Linked DNA regions of Oryza sativa Japonica Group. The main gene of each other region encodes a partner of the protein of the gene in region 5 in a complex. Links are inferred from orthologs where the notes say so. Each region holds a gene or a part of one and is shown on either strand. Other genes may lie near its edges.

The links.
Region 1: photosynthetic NDH subunit of lumenal location 5, chloroplastic (region 5) and NAD(P)H-quinone oxidoreductase subunit O, chloroplastic share a complex: the UniProt entries of both Arabidopsis thaliana proteins name them as parts of the chloroplast NDH complex. The link is inferred for Oryza sativa Japonica Group from reciprocal best matches to the Arabidopsis thaliana genes Pnsl5 and NdhO.
Region 2: photosynthetic NDH subunit of lumenal location 5, chloroplastic (region 5) and photosynthetic NDH subunit of lumenal location 3, chloroplastic share a complex: the UniProt entries of both Arabidopsis thaliana proteins name them as parts of the chloroplast NDH complex. The link is inferred for Oryza sativa Japonica Group from reciprocal best matches to the Arabidopsis thaliana genes Pnsl5 and PnsL3.
Region 3: photosynthetic NDH subunit of lumenal location 5, chloroplastic (region 5) and photosynthetic NDH subunit of lumenal location 4, chloroplastic share a complex: the UniProt entries of both Arabidopsis thaliana proteins name them as parts of the chloroplast NDH complex. The link is inferred for Oryza sativa Japonica Group from reciprocal best matches to the Arabidopsis thaliana genes Pnsl5 and PnsL4.
Region 4: photosynthetic NDH subunit of lumenal location 5, chloroplastic (region 5) and photosynthetic NDH subunit of subcomplex B 5, chloroplastic share a complex: the UniProt entries of both Arabidopsis thaliana proteins name them as parts of the chloroplast NDH complex. The link is inferred for Oryza sativa Japonica Group from reciprocal best matches to the Arabidopsis thaliana genes Pnsl5 and PnsB5.
Region 6: photosynthetic NDH subunit of lumenal location 5, chloroplastic (region 5) and NAD(P)H-quinone oxidoreductase subunit S, chloroplastic share a complex: the UniProt entries of both Arabidopsis thaliana proteins name them as parts of the chloroplast NDH complex. The link is inferred for Oryza sativa Japonica Group from reciprocal best matches to the Arabidopsis thaliana genes Pnsl5 and NdhS.
Region 7: photosynthetic NDH subunit of lumenal location 5, chloroplastic (region 5) and nAD(P)H-quinone oxidoreductase subunit M, chloroplastic share a complex: the UniProt entries of both Arabidopsis thaliana proteins name them as parts of the chloroplast NDH complex. The link is inferred for Oryza sativa Japonica Group from reciprocal best matches to the Arabidopsis thaliana genes Pnsl5 and NdhM.

What each region holds. Positions count from the first base shown.
Region 1 is NC_089035.1:42,962,867-42,966,248, forward strand, and holds NAD(P)H-quinone oxidoreductase subunit O, chloroplastic, read left to right. Parts: upstream 1-1,453; 5' UTR 1,454-1,518; coding exon 1,519-1,759; intron 1,760-1,909; coding exon 1,910-1,965; intron 1,966-2,091; coding exon 2,092-2,157; intron 2,158-2,272; coding exon 2,273-2,314; intron 2,315-2,392; coding exon 2,393-2,452; intron 2,453-2,549; coding exon 2,550-2,579; 3' UTR 2,580-2,882; downstream 2,883-3,382. Other genes in the region: phosphatidylserine decarboxylase proenzyme 2, read right to left, coding at 26-105, 251-481. UniProt on the Arabidopsis thaliana protein: NDH shuttles electrons from NAD(P)H:plastoquinone, via FMN and iron-sulfur (Fe-S) centers, to quinones in the photosynthetic chain and possibly in a chloroplast respiratory chain.
Region 2 is NC_089041.1:312,356-315,225, forward strand, and holds photosynthetic NDH subunit of lumenal location 3, chloroplastic, read left to right. Parts: upstream 1-1,310; 5' UTR 1,311-1,384; coding exon 1,385-1,652; intron 1,653-1,788; coding exon 1,789-2,189; 3' UTR 2,190-2,370; downstream 2,371-2,870. Other genes in the region: kinesin-like protein KIN-14N, read right to left, coding at 2,686-2,853. UniProt on the Arabidopsis thaliana protein: NDH shuttles electrons from NAD(P)H:plastoquinone, via FMN and iron-sulfur (Fe-S) centers, to quinones in the photosynthetic chain and possibly in a chloroplast respiratory chain.
Region 3 is NC_089036.1:32,085,142-32,088,927, forward strand, and holds photosynthetic NDH subunit of lumenal location 4, chloroplastic, read left to right. Parts: upstream 1-1,392; 5' UTR 1,393-1,467; coding exon 1,468-1,869; intron 1,870-2,103; coding exon 2,104-2,196; intron 2,197-2,302; coding exon 2,303-2,363; intron 2,364-2,491; coding exon 2,492-2,560; intron 2,561-2,738; coding exon 2,739-2,806; 3' UTR 2,807-2,858; intron 2,859-2,968; 3' UTR 2,969-3,286; downstream 3,287-3,786. UniProt on the Arabidopsis thaliana protein: NDH shuttles electrons from NAD(P)H:plastoquinone, via FMN and iron-sulfur (Fe-S) centers, to quinones in the photosynthetic chain and possibly in a chloroplast respiratory chain.
Region 4 is NC_089035.1:41,427,245-41,431,235, forward strand, and holds photosynthetic NDH subunit of subcomplex B 5, chloroplastic, read left to right. Parts: upstream 1-1,191; 5' UTR 1,192-1,969; coding exon 1,970-2,251; intron 2,252-2,416; coding exon 2,417-2,471; intron 2,472-2,599; coding exon 2,600-2,668; intron 2,669-2,810; coding exon 2,811-2,869; intron 2,870-2,971; coding exon 2,972-3,208; 3' UTR 3,209-3,552; downstream 3,553-3,991. Other genes in the region: uncharacterized protein, read left to right, coding at 1-22, 282-399, 500-559, 652-762, 945-1,043; serine/threonine-protein kinase-like protein ACR4, read right to left, coding at 3,782-3,991. UniProt on the Arabidopsis thaliana protein: NDH shuttles electrons from NAD(P)H:plastoquinone, via FMN and iron-sulfur (Fe-S) centers, to quinones in the photosynthetic chain and possibly in a chloroplast respiratory chain.
Region 5 is NC_089039.1:192,252-196,325, forward strand, and holds photosynthetic NDH subunit of lumenal location 5, chloroplastic, read left to right. Parts: upstream 1-1,274; 5' UTR 1,275-1,311; coding exon 1,312-1,341; intron 1,342-1,440; coding exon 1,441-1,629; intron 1,630-2,381; coding exon 2,382-2,532; intron 2,533-2,636; coding exon 2,637-2,725; intron 2,726-3,303; coding exon 3,304-3,358; intron 3,359-3,445; coding exon 3,446-3,531; intron 3,532-3,617; coding exon 3,618-3,770; 3' UTR 3,771-4,007; downstream 4,008-4,074. Other genes in the region: uncharacterized protein, read right to left, coding at 99-277. UniProt on the Arabidopsis thaliana protein: NDH shuttles electrons from NAD(P)H:plastoquinone, via FMN and iron-sulfur (Fe-S) centers, to quinones in the photosynthetic chain and possibly in a chloroplast respiratory chain.
Region 6 is NC_089041.1:5,276,820-5,279,539, reverse strand, and holds NAD(P)H-quinone oxidoreductase subunit S, chloroplastic, read left to right. Parts: upstream 1-1,166; 5' UTR 1,167-1,257; coding exon 1,258-1,995; 3' UTR 1,996-2,220; downstream 2,221-2,720. UniProt on the Arabidopsis thaliana protein: NDH shuttles electrons from NAD(P)H:plastoquinone, via FMN and iron-sulfur (Fe-S) centers, to quinones in the photosynthetic chain and possibly in a chloroplast respiratory chain.
Region 7 is NC_089038.1:27,480,408-27,483,421, forward strand, and holds nAD(P)H-quinone oxidoreductase subunit M, chloroplastic, read left to right. Parts: upstream 1-1,293; 5' UTR 1,294-1,333; coding exon 1,334-1,819; intron 1,820-1,973; coding exon 1,974-2,150; 3' UTR 2,151-2,514; downstream 2,515-3,014. Other genes in the region: uncharacterized LOC4336529, read left to right, coding at 32-268; uncharacterized LOC4336531, read right to left, coding at 2,782-2,859. UniProt on the Arabidopsis thaliana protein: NDH shuttles electrons from NAD(P)H:plastoquinone, via FMN and iron-sulfur (Fe-S) centers, to quinones in the photosynthetic chain and possibly in a chloroplast respiratory chain.

The DNA.
Region 1 (3,382 bases), on a different chromosome or scaffold from region 5:
ATATTAGATGAAAAATATGCTCAACTTGTCAGACTTCTCGGTGCGGTACGTGCGCTCGCCCAGCGAGAGGCACGCGATGAACTTGTCCTTGAACTGCATATCCGCCTGTGGCCACCAACCAAATCAAAACAACGCGTACAAAACCACAGCAGCAGCGTACACAGACGGAATGAATCAAAACCACCGATCCCCAATTCCACCCCCCTCCGCTTCGCAGCCGCAAGCACACACACCCAACCCGGCCCCGTACCTTCACTATCCGGATGCGCGCGATGCCGGCGAACTCGTCGACGGCGATGGCCCTCCCCGTCCCCGACTCGGAGGCGTGGGCGTCGCCACCGGGACGCCCCGCGCGGTCGCGGTGGCGCAGGCGGAGGCGGCGGCGGAACCGCTCGAAGCGAGACGGCAGCGGCGAGGGCGGCGACTCGCCGTCGCCGCCGCCGCCGCCGCATGCATTGTGGCGCGAGGGCGAATGGCCCATCTGTCAGTGAGATGGAGTAGTTGGACTCGACGGCAACGCGCAGGCGCAGCGAGAGACTTGAAAGGCGATGACCTTTTAAACGCGAGGCAGAGTAGGAGGAAGGGTCATCGGGTGGTCCCCACATGTCATACAGATAATAATTAATGGCAGTTTCCACATGGCAGTTGTTATACATCTGGGAAAGGCAAAAGGCCGTACCCAAGCAGGAGTCGCCTGGGTGTTCGTTAGACTGACATGTGGGGCCAGGATATGCTCGGATCATTCACTACCTGGACATGCGGAAGAAGATTCATGATTTTTTTTTGCTTTTTTCCAGCGCAACCGTCGCAAGACAAAATAATGGTACGCGTGGGGCCGGTTTGATCGAATATTTTCGAAGGGTTGCTATGTTTTGCTAAAGTAGAGGTCAAATGGGATGGATCATGGATGGATGGGGACGTTGAAAACGCGGTGGATTCATTTGAGGAGGAAGGATCCTTGGCATCGGTCAATTGTGCATGTTACGACAAGTGCCACAAACCAGCAGAAGCAAAGGTAGAAGATGACCATTGCAAAAAAAAAAAAAAAGGGGGGGGGGGTGTCCTCCTAAGCTTAAGCTAGGCTTTGCATTGCTCTCAACGCTTTTCTCCCTTCCACTTGCCGCTGTTGTTTACTCTTTCCAAGCTAAATAGCGACATAAAACTAAAGCGGAATTCCTCATTTGCTCGCTCATTCGCTGAGGTCGAGCATACAACAATCTAAGACGGTGTCATGATCCATGACCTTGACTCCTCCAATTCTCCTTTATTTTTTCTGTCTATCTCTCTCTCTCTTTTCTTTTGCTAATTCATTCATATAATATAATCATCATATATGGGCCTTACCCAAATGAGGTGAGCTGGGCCTGAAGCTTTGTGACAGTTGGCCCAAAACTGAGAGCGCTAGCTCAGGCCCAGTGGTCACCTTATCTGCCGCGTGCAATTCATGTGGCACATATTTACGTGCACTTCGTCACTTTGCTTTTTGCCATTGCCATTGCCAAAGCTAAGCTTCTCGCCATGGAAGCTCTCCTCTCCTCGCCGCGCGCTCTCTTCTCCGTCACGCCAACCGCGTGCTGGCCGGCGTCAGCCAGGAGGAGGAGACGTGTTGCTTCTCCTGTCAAGGCGGCCGCCGCCGCCGCCGAGCCGGCCGGGGAGGAGAAAAAGCCCGCCACCGGCGGCGCCGCGGCGGCGGCGGGAGACGGCCAGGCGGCTGCGCCGGCGCCGAAGAAGATCCTCAAGAAGAAACCTGTCTACTCGAGTAATGAATACGCTTTGCAACTTTGCATTTCAGCTCTGAGTTCTGAACAAGCATCAAAGCCATTTAGCTTCTTGTTTGTTTTTTTGTTTATACTTGATTAACCAATCCATTTATTTTCATCCAATTGATTTGGTTGATGATGCGCCACAGTGAAGAAGGGCCAGATTGTGCGCGTCGACAAGGAGAAGTACTTGAACAGCATCAACGTAAGCACACTGATCGATGCTACTGCATAGATGCTTCATTCATTTCTACTCTTTGTGCTGTAATTTCAGTCTATGATTTCCTCCCCTGCACATGATTTTTTTTAAAAATTTGTTTCATTGATTCAGTATCTGTCAGTTGGACACCCGCCTTTCTTCAAGGGGCTAGACTACATATACGAGGACCGTGGCGAGGTAATTATTTAGCCCATCTTACTGAACCTGAAGTTAATTTCAGCTAATTAAACCTAGCAGTAAGAACATCTTCGTTCTAGCTACGGTCATAATCTTGTTCGTCATTACCGTGCAGGTTTTGGACATCAGAATCTTTGAAACAGGGGAGTATGCCCTGGTGAGTCACCTGCCACTTCATTTCTTCTGTATATTTTGTAGATTTGGACTTCTGAATCTCATTCATATGTTTGGACAGATCGCTTGGGTTGGAATCCCAACTCCACCGGCATGGCTGCCAACTTACATGCTCATCAAGGTAATTACAGTATCTCTAAGTCCATCACACATGCAGCATTGCCAAAATGCAGAATGTACCATCATTTGACCACTTAATCTTAACACTATTTTTACAGTCGGATAAACTCGACTACGAGAGAATATGATATGCACAGGATCGAAGGTTGCGTTCAAGCTAGCTCAGCAATCGGGTGGGAGATCGGTCCTTGGCCTGCCAGACTAGCGTTTTTTCAGTTGTTTTCTTCCCTGCATTGCAGATTCTTCCCCTATTTCGGTTCTTCCGACGATTAATCTGCAGATGTTTTCAGTCGGTTCGTGATATATGACAATGTGTTGTATATAGATGTCAATATGAGGCGATTTGCTGTTGCCTGTTGCTCCGCATCTAAATTAATTATACTGAACTGAAAAATTTAACAAAAGTTAAGTGATGATATTCAGAGCTATTCAGATTCATTTTTTGAGATGGCTAATTATCGTGCCATCTGATCGTATTCTGTAAGCTTCAAAAAAAAAATGTTAGAGATATACTGATATAGAATAGGCTAACGGATGCACATACCCATGAGAACGTCTCTTTTAAACACGTTCGTAATGCATGAAATAACTAAAAGTTCTACTGAAAGAATACTCATTGTACGTGTAACTGCGGATATCAGAATTTAAACTCTAATGAACATACTTCTTCTGTACGCACAAATCCATCACTAGGCCCCGTTTGAATCCTCTAGGAAGAGAGGATATTTTTTTTTTGATATTCGTGGCACGCTTTTCAAACTGTTAAACGGTGTGTTTCGTGCGAAAACTTTCTATACGAAAGTTGTTCTAAAATATTAGATTAATCTAGTTTTTAAATTTGTAATAATTAAAACTTAATTAATCACATGTTATTACCACCTTGTTTTGTTATGAAGCTCTTTTGGAACGCATGTTATTTTTACGAGTTAAT
Region 2 (2,870 bases), on a different chromosome or scaffold from region 5:
CTTCTATTGTTGCAAAGTTTCTACTCACGGGGTAGTTAACCATGGTCAAACTTGTTGACGTGTACAAATGGAATCACATGTAGGGATAGATATCGAGTTGACTCGGCTCGGCTCATCAACAAGCTCGAGCTAGCTCGTTAAGCTCACGAGCTAGGGGCAAGAGACATAGCCGGCGAGCATAGGAAGCAGCTCAACCTCGCCTGCACTTCAAGTCTGCAACTAGGGGAGGAGGGGAGGAGCTTGACGGCGGAGAAAACGAGCTCGAGCTTGAGCTCGACGGCGACTACAGAGAGGAGCTCGATGGTGGAGGGGATGAACTCAACCTTCACAGCTCCGCCGACACTTGGACAGTTCACGGTTGGACCACGAGGAGGAGGCGAGCTCGACGGCGGGCACTGGGGGAGAGGCGGAGAGCGGCGGCGGCAGGCGCTCGATGGGGGTTGGCGGCGGCGGCTTGGCGCGGTGGCGATGGCGCTCACACGGCGGCGTGGCGCAGCGCCGATGGCGATGGCCGAGATGCGGATGCCGAGATGCACCGAGCGCCCAAGCCGCTGATGCGATGCGAATGCGATATGTGCGAGACGGTGGTGGACAGGGAGTCAGGGTCTCAGGCTGAGGTGAACTAGGGTTTTTTTTGATGAGTCTATTGGGCCAATGGGCCATAATGTATGTGTGCTGTTAGCTGTGGACCTGACTTGGCCTGGTAACCCCATAGCTCGTTAAGGCTCGCGAGCAGCTCGAGCTGGCTCGTTATCTCTAACGAGCTAAGATGCCAGCTCGGCTCGTTAGGAAATTCAAACGAGACAAGCCAAGTCGAGCCTGTCACGAGCCGAGTGAGCTAACGAACCACAAGCTTTCTGTCCACCCCTAACCACATGTAAATGCCTTGGTTTGCACCAGATTGAGAGGAGGAAGAGAGAAGATTGAGAAGATACACAAAACGAGGTGAGACATTAGCACATGATTAATTGAGTATAAACTATTTTAAACTTAAAAAATTGATTAATATGATTTTTTAAAGCAACTTTCGTATAGAAAATTTTTACAAACACACCGTTTAGTATTCGGGAAGTGTGTGCGTGGAAAACGAAACAAACTAACTCAAAATCACTGAATCACCTCCTGCAGAATAAGAAGATGGTGGAGGCATTATACCAGGTTTAGCGGTTAAGAGAGACGATTCAATCAAGAGCGAGAGAGGAGGGAGGCAAGTTAGACTAATTCCTTCATGCAGCCATTCTGTCGGCCCCTAGGAGAGGCAGCCCCATCAAACCGAGAGAAATATCTATGTGGTGCACTTTTGCAAAGGCGAAGGTTTTCCTCATCCTCTCGTGGCATCGCGCGCTATCCATTCATTCCCTTGCTACACTGACACACATCCTCGATGGCCACTTATCTCCAATCAGCAGGCCTCACCGCCGCCACTGCCAGCACCAGCCGCCTCCTCCGGCCAACACCACGGAGGCTGCTCCTCCTCGTGGCGGCGTGCTCCACTGGCGGACGGAGATCAGCCTGCCTCTCCGTCGGCCTCGCAGCCGCCGCCGCCACCATCTTCCAGCATCATCCCGCCTGCGCCGCCACCGACGACGAGCCGGCAAACAATGGGTGGTGGCTCACCGAGTTCCCTTTGCCGGTGCCAAAGATTGTCAACAGTGAGTAGTAAATTAATTACCATTACACACACAAAATATATAAATATAGTGATTGCAATATATATATATATATATATATATATATATATATATATATATATATATATATATATATATATATATATTGTGTGTGCAGAGGAGCTGAACAATGGCGAGACGGGGAGCCGGACGTTCGTGAGGAACGGCATCTACATAGCCGACATCGGGCCGAGCTACGCGGCGCACGCGTACAGGCTGCGGAGCACGGCGTTCGACCTGCTGGCGCTGGAGGACCTGCTGGGCAACAACGCCGACAGGGCCAACTACGTCACCAAGTACCTCCGCCTCAAGTCCACCTTCATGTACTTCGACTTCGACAAGCTCATCTCCGCCGCCTCCGACGACCAGCGCCCCCCGCTGCTCGACCTCGCCACCCGCCTCTTCGACAGCTTCGAGCGCCTCCAGAAGGCCTGCGGCACCAAGGACGACACCCAGATCGGCTCCTCCTATGCCGACACCAAGATCATCCTCCAGGAGGTCATGGCAAAGATGGCCTAGTGTTTCTGTTGGTGTACTAGCTAGTACTGTATTTCTCTCACTTTACTTGTCATACATACATATATATATATATATATATATATCCTCCTCATCACACACATATTCATATTCACATCTACGCTATGCAATATAACTTCATACTCAGTAAGTACTAAAAAGCAACAGAGCATTTCAATTCCAATTACTTGTCTGTCTTTATCATCCAAACAAAGCCAGCCCAACACAACACAGGGCACTTCTCCAATAAAATACAACCAACCTCACATCTTGTTACTACCACTGCACATTGATGCAGCCACAAATTAGATACTACAGTACTATCTGTAATGTAATGCAATGCGATGCTCGTACAATCAACAAAGCCACATGCCAAATCAGAATATTATACACACCCTCTAAGCAACCAACACACGGAGGGGATGCAAATGATCCATTGCATCCCTCAAACAACACACAAATACAATTAGTCATGGACATTCATTTTGTCCAAGCCAACTCATCCTTGCGCCAAGCTACGCACTTGGGTTTGACGACGAGGGATGCCAATCTCGCACGAGTTCACCCGTGCTGCGAACCGTAGCGAGCAAATTGACTCCCCTGTAGACGACACCTCTGGAGACAGATTCACAAACATAAGTGTCTTCGAGTCTCCTCCAAGGCATGGCTGTGTCCAAGGGGAAC
Region 3 (3,786 bases), on a different chromosome or scaffold from region 5:
GGAGGAGGGGCGCGGCTCCGTCCCTTGGCGGCTTGCGCGCGGAGTGGCGGGGGCCGGGCGATGACGACGACGATGACGGGGGGACGGCTTGGAGCGGAGCGGCGACATTGGCGACAGGCGCGTGCAGAGGCTGACGGCGGCGGCGACCGGGCGGTCGACCACTCGGCACGCGCGCGCGGCTTGCAACGGGCGGCGTCCGCGCGGGCGCGCGCACGCGAACACAGCGCGCGGGAAGCGGCAGCGAGGGAGCGGTGAGGGAGGACTTGGCTCGGCGCGGGCGGCTTACGCGTGCTGGCTCGCGGGGCCGAGCGGAGGGGCGCAGGGCGCGGCTCTCGCGCTCGCGCGTGGCGCGCGAGGGAGGGGCGCTCGGCGCGGCGACGCGCGCTCGCGCGCGCGGCGCGGGGCGGAGCGGAGGGAGAGAGGGAGAGAGCGGGGGCGCGCCGGGGAAAGCGAGAGAGAGAGCCGGGAGAGAGAGGGGAAGATGGGCCGAGGGAAAATCGGCCCATCGACCCTGGGGGAGGCAAAATGGACTTTTGCGGAGGAATTTGATTTGGAGGGATTGGATTCGGAATTGAACTCGACGATAGATCGGGGATTGAGATCTTGAGATGGCACGGATACTAGACAACAAGCAAAGAAACAAATTTCGCAATTAGGGTTTTTAAGAGATAATTTCCCCGCTAGGCGCCACGACGGAACGGGCGCTACAGCAGGTCTGGCGAGGGGGGCGGGGAGGCCGGCGAGCTCGCCCTCATCCCACCTCCAACCCCTCCCCGCCTCCTCCCTCTTCGTATGCACTCGCTGCCGGCCTCCCCGCCTCCTCCCTCTTAGCATACGCTCGCTGCGGGAGCTGTGGGGGATGGCGGCGTTCTGGCTGCAGGCCAACCCCATCCTCGTCGGTGCCGCACCAAGTTGCCACATCGCCACCCGTCGCCAGCTGCCCTACCAGCCTCCTCCGCAATCCGCACCCGCTGGCCGCCCTGAGAAGAGAGAGAGGGAGGGAGAGGAGGGGAAAATGGGAAATAAGAGAGAGGTGATGATATGGCATCTTACATGTGGGACCCACGCGCTGACTCAGCCGTCACGTCAAATAAAACCGGGGTCAAAACCACCGAAGGATCTAAAGTGAACGGTTTTGTTAGTTGAGGAACGCCTGATATCTGGTTTTGCGGTTGGGAAACGATTTTGTAACTCGATGACAAGTTGAGGGACCTTCGGTGTACTTTTTCCTGGAATCATCTGTCGTTCCACGGGCCACGGCCGCCGTTTGGCGACGAGACACGCGGCTTGGCCCGCAAAAAAAACGAGGATTCCTTCCTCGGTCCTCGGGTGTTGAGTTGGGAAAGCCCATGGCCCGTGACGACGTACGCGGGCGTTTATAACGACGCGACAGAGAGGTGCCCGCGTTGCAGCAGCCACAGTTTGGGGATAATCCGATTCTCTACTCCCCAAGTGACTCACTCACCGATGGCGCCTCCTCCTATCTCCTCCTCCCTCTCGCTCATGGCCTCCAACCCAATCCCGTCGCCTCCGGTCGCCAAACCGGGCAGGCCGCTCACCGTCGCGGCGTGCAGCAACAGCAGCAGCAGCTCCTCCTCCTCCTCCCCGTCGTCGACCTCGTGCTCGGCTGCCTGGAGTCTCCCGGTGGCGACGTCGGCCGGCAGGAGGGGGCTGCTCGCGCTGGGCGCGGGGTTCCTGGCTTCCCCTGGGCTTCTGTGCCCCGCCGGCGACGCCGGAGCGACGCGCATCGAGTACTACGCGACGGTGGGGGACAAGCTGTGCGACATGAACGTCGTCAAGTCGGGGCTCGGCTACTGCGACGTCGAAGTCGGCACCGGCGCCCAGCCCCCGCGCGGCCAGCTCATAAATGTCAGTTCCGACAGAAGAGTTTCTCGCACTTTCTCTAGAAGAACCTGTGTTTTCTGAATATGATTAACTCCTGTATGGAGTAATTAAGCATTGGCAGATCATAAATTTGCCCAATTTGCATCAGTACCGATCCTTTAGTTAGTTCGACAACGAATAAACCTGCCATTTTTTTCTCGCCATGACACTGATAGGAGTTTCAAGTGTGTTAATTGGAGTTGTGTTCATGGTTGTAAGGTACACTACACTGCAAGATTTACTGACGGGATAGTGTTCGACAGCACCTACAAGCGAGGACGGCCACTGACAATGCGCCTTGGCGCAGGCAAGGTGCGCAGCTTTTGTTCATTGCACGTACATCTTCGATCGTAGCAAGCATCTTATGTAGTTATGCAAGGAATCTTATTGTTTGGTTCGTTCGCATTTTCATTCTCAGATCCTCCGAGGGCTTGAACAGGGAATCAGTGGTGGCGGTGGTGTGCCACCCATGCTCGTTGGTACTGTCAGAAATCCAGAAATAATAAGCATATGCATCTCTTTGTGTGTCAAATGCTAAAAATATAGTACTGCTTTTATTTTTCTTAATCACATCGTGTCTCTGTTGAAAATCGCAATAACATTACAGGTGGAAAGCGCAAGCTTATGATACCTGCAACTTTGGCATACGGACCTGAACCAGCAGGTTGCTTCTCAGGTAATAACGAAAGAAAAAAAAAAGTAATCAAACAAGTAATCTTAATTTAATTCTAGAAATTTGAGACCAGATTAAGTTTCATGTATTTAACGATGTTTCAGTGCTATCTGTCTGGCTCCCTTATTAGCATTCGCTAGAAAAAATATACAAATTTACAGAAGATTTACTTATTTAACAGGAGACTGTAATATTCCCGGCAACACCACACTCCTATACGACATCTTCCTGGTTGGATTTTACAAGTGAGCATATGATGAAAAGGAATATGCATGACTTGAACAGACTAGGTGCAAACAAGGTATGGTGGTGGTATTCTGAACCTGTCTGATTTTTTTTTCATCTGAAAACAGTATCCCTTGCCTAAAGGGGTTGTTGTTTGTTACATAAGCATGTTACATTCTCTGGCAGATTTTCGAGTAAATTTTGGCGTTTCATACAAGAGGCGGGACTACGGACAGATGAAGAGAAAGGGTGCGACATGCCTAAGCCCAGACGCCGAAAGCAAATGCGTCACCGGAGCTCCTTGGGTCTCCAATACGCAGAGTACTACATTTGCAATCTGTACCAAGAAGTGAAAGGATATATAACAAACCGGTCCTCTGATATACTATCAAATTGGTCTTATGTTTTCTAGAGAAGAAAAGTCTTGTGTTTGTGTAAGTATAACGTTGTAAAGACATGTCTCATTATTCATACTGTCATTGGTACAGCCAAACACAACAAAAATTCCCATCCTTTGTGGCAAGTCCTAACTAAATGAAGTTGAACTCTGACTGAATATCGATTGACTGGTGACTTCCAAACCTTCAACAGTTCAAGCAAGCTAATCGACTGTATCAATACTAATGTACTCAAAAAAATGTCGAAAGTTCGTGTCAAAGCACATGTGCAGTAGTAGCTTTGAGCCTTTGACTGCTGTCTGCACTGCAGTATTGCCACAAGATAATTTAATCATAGGTTTGTTAACCATCAAATCGAAACATGCATTGTTCAGACTTCAGAGAATATCCTAAAATCCTTTTATGAAACCAAAGAACACCCAAATCGTGAGAGTTGAACTATCGATTGACCGGTTCAGAGCCAGAACTGGTAGGTGAATGAGGGAAGAAAAGGAGAGCTGCCATTTCCGTGGCAGGAAGACTCAAGAATTCCAAAAGCTTCTTGTCGGTTTAAAACGAAAACCTTTTTCGTCAGATGCTCTGAATGCTGCTCGGTGTCATGAAATT
Region 4 (3,991 bases), on a different chromosome or scaffold from region 5:
ATTGTGCCAAGATCTATTTATCGTGAGTGCCTTGGTTGATATATTTGTTTTGATTGGGTATTCGTCTTGTCATCTTGTCGGTAATCTGCATTGTGTATATAATAGAGCAGGGACAGGGAGGATTTTTGTTTACTCATCCAGCCAGAATTACTTTAGAATACCTCCATAAAATGCAGTTTTGCTTCCCTGATTCCTTCAGCATTTTCTTATTTATGATGATACTTTATTTGCTGTATTGGTTGTATTGGACAAATTTGGTAAATAAGCTACCTTTGATTCAGGTTTCAACAGAACATGGCAACATATCAAAACCTAATAACTCAATCAATGTATGACAAACAGCTAGATAGTGGGAAAGGCACACTTCTCCATCTCTGTGATGATGTGATTCAGCAGGAAGTAGGTCTCCATATTGTAGTACTTGATTCAGAATAAGCATATCAGAGACTTGTGCTCACAATTATTTTCATCTTTGTGGTTTCTGAATTCTGATGTCCAGGTCAAGGAGATTATAATTTCCTACTATATTTTGATGGAAAATGGAAAGGCGACTATTGAGGTATTGCTTTGGTATTTGAAACAAGCATGTTTTGTTTCTGAAGTTGTGCAAGTATAAAAATTGAGTTGAATATTCTTGGCACTCAATGCTAGGATCTTGACTTACAATGTGAAGAGTTAATCCAAGAAGAGTTTGGCTTGCAATGCAATTTTGAGGTGATGGATGCTGTTCAGAAGTTAGAGAGGCTTGGCATCATTACAAGAGTGAGTTCTTACAGCTTGTTACAGCAGTACCAAATCATAGTGAGATATATATCCCCAAAAAAAACTTAGATAAATTTCAGAATGTATAGAATCTAAAAGAATTTTTAAATGAAATACCATTATGTTGTTACTCGCATTTTCTCTATTTTAATCATGGATAATAAAGCCAGTGATGCTTGCAGGATTCTATTGGAAGAATATGCTGTCTATCTCTGAAGCGTGCCAATGAGATCATTGGCGCTACTACAGAAGAGCTGGTTATGAAGGCCAGACAAAGCTAGTTATCCAATTCTATTTGAACCAGGTAATCCTTTGGTGGACTCTAGGCTTCCATCATTAGATTGTTTCTGGTTTTTTGGATGGGACATTATATTGTTTCTGGAATACTCCAAGAAGTCCTGACACTGATTTCTTTGCAGTTTAGGGGGGCAATAGGTCCTGGACGGCTGCGGAATAATTCTCCGATGGAAGTTGAGCAGATATGCTATTGTTGTTCTGTTGTAGGACCTGCTGTATTATGCAATGTTTAATGCATGTTGTAAGAAATTTAGTTTCTTCTTGGAACAAAATGTGGAAAGATTTCAGTAAAAAAAAATGTGGAAAGAGGTTCATGAACTGCTGCCTTGTTTGTTCAGTTAATGAATACTCCTACAAGAAATGCAGCAGCCTGCTAACTCAAGGCACAAGAGCCAAGTATGACGCATAAAAAGCATACTGAAGCAGTGAAAAAGCGCTGCTGATGGTGCACTGTATCTCAGCCACTGAATCAGTGACGTCCGACACAGTGACACTGGGTTGCTGGTTCTTTTTCTGCTCTTTTCATTTACAAATCATGTCCTCATGTTGCAGTTGTCTTTTCCTTGTCTCTCCTGATGTGTAAAACACAAGGCTCTGTGCTTGCTGTTGCTAACAATTCAGATTCATCAGAATGCAATAATGTAGTACTAACAAATACTAGTTCTATTCATTCACAAGATTATCATGCATATCTGACCTGATTACTGACTGACTAATGAGGTGATGCAGATTTCTTTCCAGGCATGAAGAAAAAGAAAGAAAAGAGGAAAAAAGCAGCGAAAAATCCTGGACGGTACATGCCCCATACCCATTATCCTCTTGTTTTTGTCTCCTTGCAGCAAAGTATAAGTGCAGCAGCAGCTACCAGCTAAGCAAGAAGCGAGCAGCAGAGCTCAGCGTTTGGAGCGAGATGATGAGCAGCAGCAGCAGCTTGGTGTCCGCCATTTCTGCGTCACCGTCTGCCACTGCAAAAGCTCGCCTTCGTCATGACGATGCAGCAACAGCAACAGGAGCAGCAGCAGCAGCAGCAGTAGCAGCGAGGCAGCTAAAGACGGAGCATGGCGGCTGCTGCTGCTGCCGGAGCAGAGGCCGGGCGGTGGTGGCGAGGGCGGGGCCCGGGCCACTGACGGAGATCGAGCCCGACCTGAACGAGGACCCCATTGATAAGTGGCGCACCAACGGCGTCAGCCCGGTCTGTCCTCCTCGCCGTCGCCGGCCACCGTGTTGAGAATTTCATTATTTTTCTCTATTCCAAGCAGTTTCCATGGTTTCTTTGATTCTTTCTTCAGTGATTGCTGCTGCTGTGCTGTGTTGTCTGAAGAAATGGTTTTGACACTGAAAAGAATCTGCTTTGCAGGACGACTTCGAGTATGGAGTGTATGATGGTCACCACACATATAATGAAACCCAAGGTTCTTTTTCTGGGCTATCTTATCCAGTTATCCATTCCTTGAATCAAAATGCGTAATCATGCTCATGTGTGCTAATTTCTGATTCTTATGTGATATGATGTGGAAAAAAAAATCATTTGACACTGAAGATAAGAAGGGCTTTTGGGAGGATGTCTCTGAGTGGTACCAAGAAGCTGAACCTCCTCAGGGCTTCCAAGGTAGTAACAGCCAAATTCCTTTCTCACTTGGATAAATCAGAGAAAAATCAGATTCTTTCAGATAAATCAGAGAAAAAAAATCAGATCTTTCTTCTCTTAAGACAAGCTTGCTCAATTTGCACTGATGGGCCATCTCTTGCAGCACTGATCTCCTGGTTGTTTCCTCCTGCAATCATCCTTGGCATGGCCTTCAATGTTCCGGTAACATATTGAGCAGTAGTTCCAGCCTACTGACATGTATCACATTTCACAATCTGTCTTGGCTCTTGAGCTCTCTGAATATGTGTCTACTTCTGCCACTAGGGGGAGTACCTCTACATCGGCGCAGCAGTGTTCGTCGTCGTGTTCTGCGTTATCGAGATGGACAAACCGGACAAGCCACACAACTTTGAGCCGGAGATCTACATGATGGAGAGATCGGCTCGCGACAAGCTCATCGCCGACTACAACACCATGGACATCTGGGACTTCAACGAGAAGTACGGCGAGCTCTGGGACTTCACCGTCGACAGAAGAGATGAGATTGTGAAATCGTCTTAGATATGGTATTCAGAAATGGGGGGTCACATTTGTTAGATGCAGCTGCAGAAACAGTTCAGAAAATCAGAACCACTCCAAAGAAAAGCAGGGTGGCAAAGCTGCAAGATGAGTCTCTTCAAAATAAAGAACTTTGAGATGAAATGATGTGTGTATGGATCATCTCATCTACTGTAAGGCCTGCTTTCTATGTCTCTGACAGTCTCAACTCTGAAGTTCTCAGCCAGGTACAAAAGGAGACTGAAAATTCTGTCATGTGTATTTTGTTTTCCCCCCAATGTAATGGAGAAAATCCTGTGAATGACATCACTAATTCAATAGATATATATAGTAGTATAATGGAATAACTTTGGCATCAGCCTCCAATATTATCAATATGTAAAAGAAAAGGAAATATCATTCTTTTCTTGTACAGGAAAAGGAATAAAGGGAACCTCACAGCTGTTCCTTTTTTGTACACTTGAGTTACAGCTGAATCACTATGAAGACCAAAGAAAAGAGAGAGAGAAATAATAAATGGAAAGGGAATTGCTAGTCTATAACTCTGATGATGAGAGGAAACTAGCTAGTTCTTCTTCAACCTGATGTTGTGAAGAGCTGACTACCTAGAGTCACAGTTGGTGTGCTTTCTGGCATGATTGTGGTCATCCTCATCTCTTGCTCGCGAATTCGGTTTATCTCCGCCTCCACCAAGTTCATCGATGGGCGATGCTCGCTCGTCGGGTTCACGCACCACGATGTCAACCGCAGAAATTCTCTCATGCCTTCTGAGGTATAGGCACTGGC
Region 5 (4,074 bases):
GGATAGAGCAATAATAGGTTAACAAAGTGAAGAGAGGGAGAGAGAGATGTGGATCTAAATCTGGGGGAAGAGGGAGATGAGATGGGGAGGGGACTGACGCGGAACCCTGGTTGTAGAGGTTGAGGGTGACGGCGAGGCGCTCCACGCCTGGACCCGGGCGGGACAGCGCAACCTTCTTCTGTGCTACCACGAACGGCGCATCCTGCCCGGCGGCGGCGGCGAAGGGCACGAGGAGGAGGAGGAGGAGGAAGAGGAGAGATCGCCACTGCTGCGCCATCACCGCTCACGGAGATTGCTTTGCTTCTTCCACCTCACCTCGACCGAGGCTATTGTTACATTACATGTGTGTTCAAGCCCATCCCATCTATTACATGGGCCCCCGTGAATACTATGCCCATCAGCCCATTTTACTACCTCCTGCCTCCTATGCGGCCCCCTCCCCTCTCTACCAAAAAAAAAATAATACCACCTCCTATTCTTATTTTTTAGCATTGTCCATATTTATATATGTGTTAATAGATCTAGACATATATGAATGTGAAGTCTTATAACCTAAAACTCAAGAAAAATATTTACTCAGGTCCTAGTTTTAAAAAATACTCAAAATACATATAAGGTTAACAATTAATTTATTCATCTAAGGGTTTAAAAATATGAATTGTTTATGTAGCTTACTTACCCAACATGAAAGTTTATATATAAATTTCAAGTTTTCACTTTTTTAAAAAAAATATTTTTGAGTTTTTTATGAGAGAGAAATTACTTACGCAAAAGATAATTTACATTAGAAATGAGGTATGTTCTCGAAAAAAGTTACATTAAAAACAGCAAAAAAAAAATTCTTGCAGTATATAATGGATAAATAATTTTTTTTAAAAAAATATAAAAATGTAAAATCTTAAAACTAGTGCATAAACTAGCATTTTTTTTCTTCTGAAACTTATGGTAGGATAAATCAAATATTAACCTTATATGGTGTATTTTAGGTATTTTTGAAAATAGTATAGTCCGATGGTATATTGTATAATAATTGATAACTTACCGATATATTATAGAAAGAGACACTGTAAATAAATAAATTTTAAATAGTTGGATTGGGACAAATAGAGTTGATTTAACAGATGCTTTTGGTCCCAAAAATAAAATATAGTACTTCCCCCAATGAAGAAGGTGTGTGTGATTATTGTATTTCCTGTGCACACATATGCAAAAATGCCATCCATTCATCCCAGTGCAATGCCCTATCTACCTATCCAATCCCAATCCACCTGAGCGAGAGAGAGAGAAAGGGTCTCCTCCTCAACATCAACAATGGCGGTCGCAACCTCCTTCGCCACACTCGTAAGCTCACTCATCCATGGCCTCTGCTCTCCTCTTCTTCCCCACCGAGCTCTCAATCTTATTATCGTCGCTCTTTCTTCTCTTGTGTTTGCACTGCAGGCCATCGCGCGGCCGGCGGCGGAGCGGGCCCTCCTCGCCTCCAAAACCCCCTCGCCGCTCCTCTCCATCCGCACCGGCACCGGCACCGCACGCCTCCCCTCATCGGCCGTCTTTGGAGGTTTCACTCCTGCGCTTTCCGCTGCTCACAGCCGCGCGCGCTTCGTCTCCTCCGCCACCGCTGACCCCAAGGTACTGTGTCCCCGGATCTTCTTCTTTTATCTGCCCTACATATATCTTTCTATTGCCGCACCGCATCCATTCTTGTAATCCTGTCTAGTAGTATATCAGTCAAATTTACTACTCCACCTTACTGGACTATTATTATGCAATCAGCCTCCGCAATACCGGCCCCTGTTTGTTGCCTCTTTGGAGGAAGAGATATTGGGTTAGCACAGATGACCTCGACCTTCCAACACCATTAAATTAAAACTAATACTAGTAATGCCTTTGTATGTCAAATTTTGTTATCAGATTTTTAAATCACCAGGTGAAATTTATGCTACCAAAATTGCAGTTTCAGGCTTATCATCACCAATGCTTTATTATGTATTCACCTGCTCTGATTAATAATTTTAGTTGCCTCGACCATAGGGTTCTGCTACTTACAGGTCTTACCTTGTATGTGCACCGAATGTAAACACGTTATTCATCATCAGTGACTGCCTGCAACATTGTGAGGAAACACGTGTGCCCTTCTGTACTACTGAAAGCTGGGTTTTCCTTTCCCATGTGCACTATGCGCTTTCATGTTTTCCTCCACTAGATGTTAACTTACGATATACTACCTCCTTCCTTTAATATATGACGTTGGTTAGTTCAATTAACATCATACATAAAAGAACAGCGCAAGTATCGATTATTCTTACCCTATGTGGGAGAACTGGATACCACGCTTCAAATTTATTCTTTCAGTTTTGCTAAACTTCTCCCATACATTGCAGGAAGTGGACCTCCAGTCCAAAATCACAAACAAGGTGTACTTTGACATAAGCATCGGAAACCCTGTTGGGAAGAACGTTGGGAGGGTCGTTATTGGCCTATACGGGGATGATGTTCCCCAGACCGCAGAGAACTTCCGTGCTCTTTGCACTGGTACAAAGGGCTTCTTGCTTTTCTTCTCTTCTGTCATCTACTACTTTACAGGATTACCCAGATTTGGTGCATGATACACATACCATTGCCCTTTTCCTTTTCAGGAGAAAAAGGGTTTGGTTACAAGGGGTCCAGTTTCCACCGTGTCATTAAGGACTTCATGATTCAGGGAGGAGACTTTGACAAGGGCAACGTATGTCTTCATTATTTACTTTCTTTATAATCTACTCCTATGTTGCACTTGTTCCTCTGTTTCATCTGACAAACTCTATTGGAAAAAGTCACATAGTGTAACATTACTCACAACACTGAATGAGCTCATGTGTTTGTTTCTATCTATCACCATTGAGCCAACTATTTCTCCAAAAAAAAAAAAGTTTGATTTGTTTTATCAATGTTAGCGCTTTATGCTGTTTTGGATAGAAAGCTGACCTATATATGTGTTTTGGATCATTATACAACTTTGTGTTATGCACTTCAGTGCTTGCCCTATGGTGTTTTAGATCATTATACTGCTTTGCATCATGTACATTATGAGTATGAATTGGTAGTTTGTGATCAGCATAATGTGTATGCAGTGATTATTGACTTCATGGCTAGATTACAAGGAGATTAGCACCAAATCCTTTTTCTTTAAATTGATGGCCTAAATTAAATCATGCAGCTGCCTGGTTTCATGAATTATGAATTTTTGACCTAGCCTACATCAAATCATTCAGCTTTCAACTTCTGCATGTGGATAAAGTAGGTTTCAAAAAATGAATATTTCAGGGTACTGGAGGGAAAAGCATATATGGCCGGACCTTCAAAGACGAGAACTTCAAATGTACGTCTGACAAATGACCTAATCTGATCGTTCTTTCTGCTTCTTATCTTGTGGTTGTGCTGATTATATGTCTTGTAATGTTTGTAGTGGTTCATACTGGACCTGGAGTGGTCAGCATGGCCAATGCTGGGCCAAACACCAATGGCAGCCAGTTCTTCATCTGCACTGTCAAGGTAACACTGTACTGATATGTTCACTGTGTACTAGTGTCGAAACTCACTCAAAATTACATTGCGCTGACTGCTACCTGCGAATGCAGACACCTTGGTTGGATGGGAGGCACGTCGTGTTTGGGCAGGTTATTGAAGGCATGGACATCGTTAAGATGATCGAATCGCAGGAGACTGACAGAGGGGACCGCCCGAAGAAGAAGGTGGTCATCAGTGAGTGTGGGGAGCTTCCAGTGGTCTAATAGGTGCCAGAGGGCTAATCTTCTTCCCCCGGAGACTTTGCTGTTTTTGGTTTCATAGTAAGCTGTGAACTTATCGCATGTTCTCCGCGCAGTCAGAGATCATGCTGAGTTGAGGCCAAGATTTCTAAGTTGAGAAGAATCCTCTATTGTTCGGCTGGAATAAAACGTTCTTACCTGTCGAGGGTCAGGAAATAATGTTGTGGTTCATGAAAGATCAAATGTCTGTCTTTTCGTGCATACGCAGACTAAAGTTACTCCTTTCCCAATACCTTTTGTTGCTGCATACTCTCTCTGTCCTAAAAAA
Region 6 (2,720 bases), on a different chromosome or scaffold from region 5:
TGGGCTCGTCGTCTACTCCCTCCGTCCCAAAATAACTCAATATAGGATAGGATGTTACATATTCTAAGACAACGAATCTAGATTGAGTTATTTTGTGATTCTCTCCATCCCAAAGAAACCAACCTAAGAGGGGATTTGACCCCTCCCAGTACAACGAATCTGGACACTACATCTCCTCTTAGGTTGGGTTTTTTTTTACGGAGGAAGTATTTCTTACGGATAGTAACTTTAGGGGCCTATTTATGAAAAAAAATAAAAAGGGGCTTAAATGTAAAATTTTCAGTCGAAAAACACGAGGTCCTCATCCGAAATTCCTAATTGGCGACTGGTCGCGTGCCCCCTCACCCCGCGCGGATGGACGCGTGGCGCGCGTAGGAGGGGGAGGGGGCGCGGCGGCCGCGCACAGTGGGAGGCCCGCGTTCTTTTTTTTTCGCCGGTTTTTATGGTTGTTTTCTTCGGTTCTTTGTTTTTTTAAAAAAAAAACATCACATATATAAAGTTTGTATATACAGTATACAAAGTTTATATACATACGTATATAAAGTTTATATATATGCGTATAGTGTATATATAAAATTTATATACGTGATGGTTTTCCTCTATTTTTTTTTATTTTTTAAAATGAACATATATAAAGTTTGTATATATATCATAAACTTTGTTATACGTTATATATAAACTTTTGTATATGCGTATATATTTACATATAAAATATATTTTTTAAATAGTACTAGTAGTATATAATAACAGTAGTAGTGGTGTAGTGGTCCTAGTTACCAGTACTAGTAGTACTAGTACTAGTTCTAGTTAGCTGTGTTTATTCTAGAGTAAAGTTTAGATTTTGGTTGAAATTGAAGATGATGTGACTGAAAAGTTATGTGTGTATGATAGATTGATGTGATAGAAAAGGACTGAAGTTTAGATCCAAACTTTGGATCTAAACACAGCCTTAGTAGTAGTAGTTAGTAGTACTCCAGTTACTACTACTTCCTCCGTTTTACAATGTAAGTCATTCTAGTATTTTTCATATTCATATTGATGTTAACGTGTAATAAATGCTAGAATAATTTATATTATGAAACGGAGGGAGTAGTAGTTTAAAGTAGTACAGTGGTAGTAGTACTAGTAGTACTTTAAGTATATACTGTACTCCGTATAGCAGTACCAGTCGCCCATTAGCCACCCCCGGTCCTCATCCACCTAGGCTTTAAAGGCTTCGTCACTTCCACACATCCTCTGCTCCGCTCTGCTCCACCAATGGCGCCCACCACCCCCGCCTCCTTCCTCCGCCCGCCGCCGCTGCCCCACCACCACCACCCCCGCATCGTCCGCCTGCCCCCTCCCTCGGCGACCTTCCGCGTCGCTGACCTCCTCGGCGGCCGGGGTCTCTGCAACGGCGAGGTCGGCATCCGCAAGGAGCTCGCCTCCGACTCCCCCGCCGCGCCGCCATCCACCACCACTTCTTCCGACGAGCCCGCGGAGTCGCCACCGCCGCCGCCGGCTGCGTCCGGGGTGGACCCGGACGCGTTCGACAAGGAGATGATGGGCCTCACCGGCGGATTCCCCGGCGGCGAGGTCGGCCTCAAGGACTTCGTCGCCAAGAACCCGCCTCCCCCCAAGCCGGCGCACAGGAAAGGTCTCGCCGCCGCCGCCACGGTGGAGCGGCCGAGGGCGCCGGAGCTGCCGCTGTTCCTCCCCGGGATGGTGGTGCTCGTCAAGAACCCCAACAACGCCTACCACATGTACTGCGGCATCGTGCAGCGCGTCACCGACGGCAAGGTCGGGGTGCTGTTCGAGGGGGGGATCTGGGACAGGCTCATCACCTTCGATCTCGACGAGCTCGAGGGGAGGGAGAAGGGCCCGCCCATGGTGAACCCTAAGTCCGTGCTGCTCGAGTCCCTCGCCGCGGAGATGGAGGACGATGTGGCCAAGGAGGAGGAGGGAGAGGAGGCCAAGAAGAAGAAGGAGGAGGAAGGCACCGCCGCCGCGGCTTGACCACCATTGCTGCTTCTGCTTCTTCTTGTATGTATACAGCTATCTATATTTTCTTAGATGATGGAAGTGAAAGGGGTATATATATATATATTATCTATTCGATGAGTAATTTCGAAGTGAGTAAATGTGTTGTTGTTAATTGCTATATGTACAGTTGGAATCTTAGTGTGAATTGGCACTATGAAACAAACGATTCGGAGATAAAAGTTTAGCTTCTTTGTTGAATTGCTATATGTTTGATCAATTTGATCACGTTTGGTCCGGATTGCTAGTGAAATGCCTACAAGGGCACCAGTTGCCATAGTTCATTATGTTGGTAGGATTAATTTTTTTTTTTACAAACTTGAATTATCATCTCTTGCTTCTTGAAGCGAAGAGGCTATGACAGTCAGGTAACCAGGCTTTCATGATTGTAAATTGTACAGAGTATGAATGTTCAAGTGTTCGTTATTCCTGACATGACTTCAAAATCCCGCAGTATTTCGCACAGCAACTATCTATGCATTGTAGTTTACGTTTGCCTGATAGCTGGTTTCCCATGATTTTTGTTTATTTGAAAGAGTATATGAAAAGATAGGGCCTTTACTTCTATATAACCTGCCTTACTCAGGAATAAGTGTAGCAGCAGATTTAAAAGGATGGTAAAGGAAGACAGTGAAGTAACAATAATGATATAGTGTTTTGCAAACAGAGTACAATTTGTATTGATTACCACCATCTATATC
Region 7 (3,014 bases), on a different chromosome or scaffold from region 5:
TTTGTCTTAACTCGATTTGAGCGAATGGCAGTGCTCAGACATGGCGGTCATGAAGGCGAGGCTACGAGCCATGGACCGGGAGTTCGTCGTGAGGAAAGTGTGGGACGGGGAGACGGTGGTGGACCAGCTCTTCTTCCACGACCCCGACGGCAATATGATCGAGGTCTGCAACTGCGAGAACCTCCCCGTGATACCCCTCATCGTTGCATCGACGCCCGGGCTTCCTGAGCTGCTGCCGCCGGCGATGCAGACCAATGTCCATGGCTAGCTCGAGCTACGTTCTTATGTCTCTCCTTTGTACATAAATACATGATTAAATTTCATTCGTTTGAATTGGTTCATTCGTACGTTAGTTGTAAGTATTCTATTTGCTGCACCATGCATACACGTTAGTTGTAGTAATTGATTGCTGCCAAGATTACATTACTGCCCAATATATATATATATATATATGAACAAGTTGTTTATATATAATAAAGTGTTTTAAGTGTTCCAAGTCTCCGGTGTACGACGTACATGTCTCCCAAGTATTTTACTCTGTTCGTCCCATTTTAAGTGTAGCCATGATTTTCCGCGCCTAATTTTAACGGTCCGTCTTATTTAAAAAAAATTAAAAACATAAGTCACGGGTAAAGTGCTATTCATGTTGTATCATCACATAACAACAACAAAAATACTAATTATAAAAAATTTTCAAATAAGACGGATGATCAAAGTTAGACACGGAAATTTATGGTTGCACTTAAAATAGGACGGATGGAGTAATCCTGAACAGACTTTTCCCGCCTGAGAAAGCTTAAAATCACTACAGAGGCTTTTGCTTTGCCTTTCATGTGAAGCGATCATCACAAAGTGAAAAGGAAAAAAAATTACTCTCGTTATTTTAAAGGCCATGGAGTATGCGTATCCTCTGCTTTTGCTGTGCCGAGGAAAAGTGGGTTACTTCTTTAAGTATGAAATCACCGTCACACCACATGGAGTTATAAAAAAACAGTCACATACAAAGTTTTGTCAGAAATGCAACAGTATTTATCCATACCACACGAGAGCGCGTGCTGCTCAGCTCTGTCATGCAATGCAACAGGCCGTGCCAACGTCCACAGCCCAATACATTTGTGTGGTCAATTGGCCCAGAACATGTACGAGTCGCTGAAACCCAGTGCCAGAAATAGCCCTTATCCACACAAGCCACACACAGCCAGTGGCTCCAAGGCGGCACGGCACGGCAGCTTAGCCGCGCGCGCGCAGGCGCAGCAAACCTAAAAAAACCACCACCACCCACGCAACACAAACACAAGCCAAGCCAAAGCCAAGCGAAACAGCTGCGCGCAGCATGGCAACCACGGCGTCCCCGTTCCTGTCCCCGGCCAAGCTGTCGCTCGAGCGCCGGCTCCCGCGCGCGACGTGGACGGCGCGACGAAGCGTCAGGTTCCCGCCGGTGCGAGCCCAAGATCAGCAGCAGCAGGTGAAAGAGGAGGAGGAGGAGGCGGCGGTGGAAAACCTGCCGCCGCCGCCGCAGGAGGAGGAGCAGAGGCGGGAGCGGAAGACGAGGAGGCAGGGGCCGGCGCAGCCGCTGCCGGTGCAGCCGCTGGCGGAGAGCAAGAACATGAGCCGGGAGTACGGCGGGCAGTGGCTGAGTTGCACGACGCGGCACATCCGCATCTACGCCGCGTACATCAACCCGGAGACCAACGCCTTCGACCAGACGCAGATGGACAAGCTCACCCTCCTCCTCGACCCCACCGACGAGTTCGTCTGGACCGACGAGACGTGCCAGAAGGTCTACGACGAGTTCCAGGACCTCGTCGATCACTACGAGGTATACTACGCACCGTAACTCATAGGCAGAATTGGCAATTGCAAATGCAGGGTAGCAGTAGTGTACACCCATGGTCTCTTTCTCCAGGTGGAAATGTTAGTTGTAAGAGCTTAATTGGTAGTACCTGCTTAACTGACCTGGATTGAATTTACAGGGCGCGGAGCTGTCAGAGTACACGCTTCGTTTGATCGGATCTGATCTTGAGCACTTCATCCGCAAACTGCTATACGATGGGGAGATAAAGTACAACATGATGTCTAGAGTCCTCAATTTCAGCATGGGCAAACCAAGGATCAAATTCAACAGCAGCCAGATCCCAGATGTAAAATAGAATGCGTGTTGTACCCTAAAGAGAAAGCATGTAACTATCAATGATTTTCCCGTTCAAAGATGCCCAATGTATATTTTGCTCTTCCAGAAGAGCCATGAGCTAGGGTATTTCCGAACTCAAATCGGGTTCATACAAAAGCAGAACATTCACAGTCGATAATAATTTTGTCGACTCCAACATGGTTACATAAAGAGAAGCTGAGCAAACTGAGGGTATTACCCTGTCGTGAAGACTAAGGAAGGGTCTAGCACTCTAGTTTCATGGCATTTCCGTTCTATGGTTTTTGCTGAGTATTAGCGGTGTGAAAATGTCGATACTTCAGGTAATCCAATCACATTGAAATAACACCACTGCTTTATTGCTTTATGATGGTGAGATCAGGTAGAACATGGAATCCAGCCCTCAAATTCACAGGCAAAACTCAATGTTAAATTATTTGCAAAGAGGATGTGCGCATATTCCAATAGGGAATTATTTCTCGATCATTGGCAATATATTTATTTATCTCATTCCATATAGATACGAGACAATCTCTGCTGATGACATTACGTCACCCTTAAGAGAGTCATTCCCGCAAATAGATGTTTAATGTTTTGGACTTGAGGGTTTGACCAGCTGCAATGTGTAAATCTCAATCGATCAAAGGAATAACCTCGTGGTCTTTAGAAACATCAACCCATGGCCTGAATTGATCTTCATGTGCATTATTCTGCAAAAGAGTGTCATACAATTCAAAAATTGCCAATTACAAAACTGCATCTCAATCTTTTTTTAGAAAAATGCCATCGCTGCATTAAGTACTAATGTCATCATGCTACTTAGGTAGTTGTGTTGTACTAAACTGCAGAGTACAATTCCACGCAG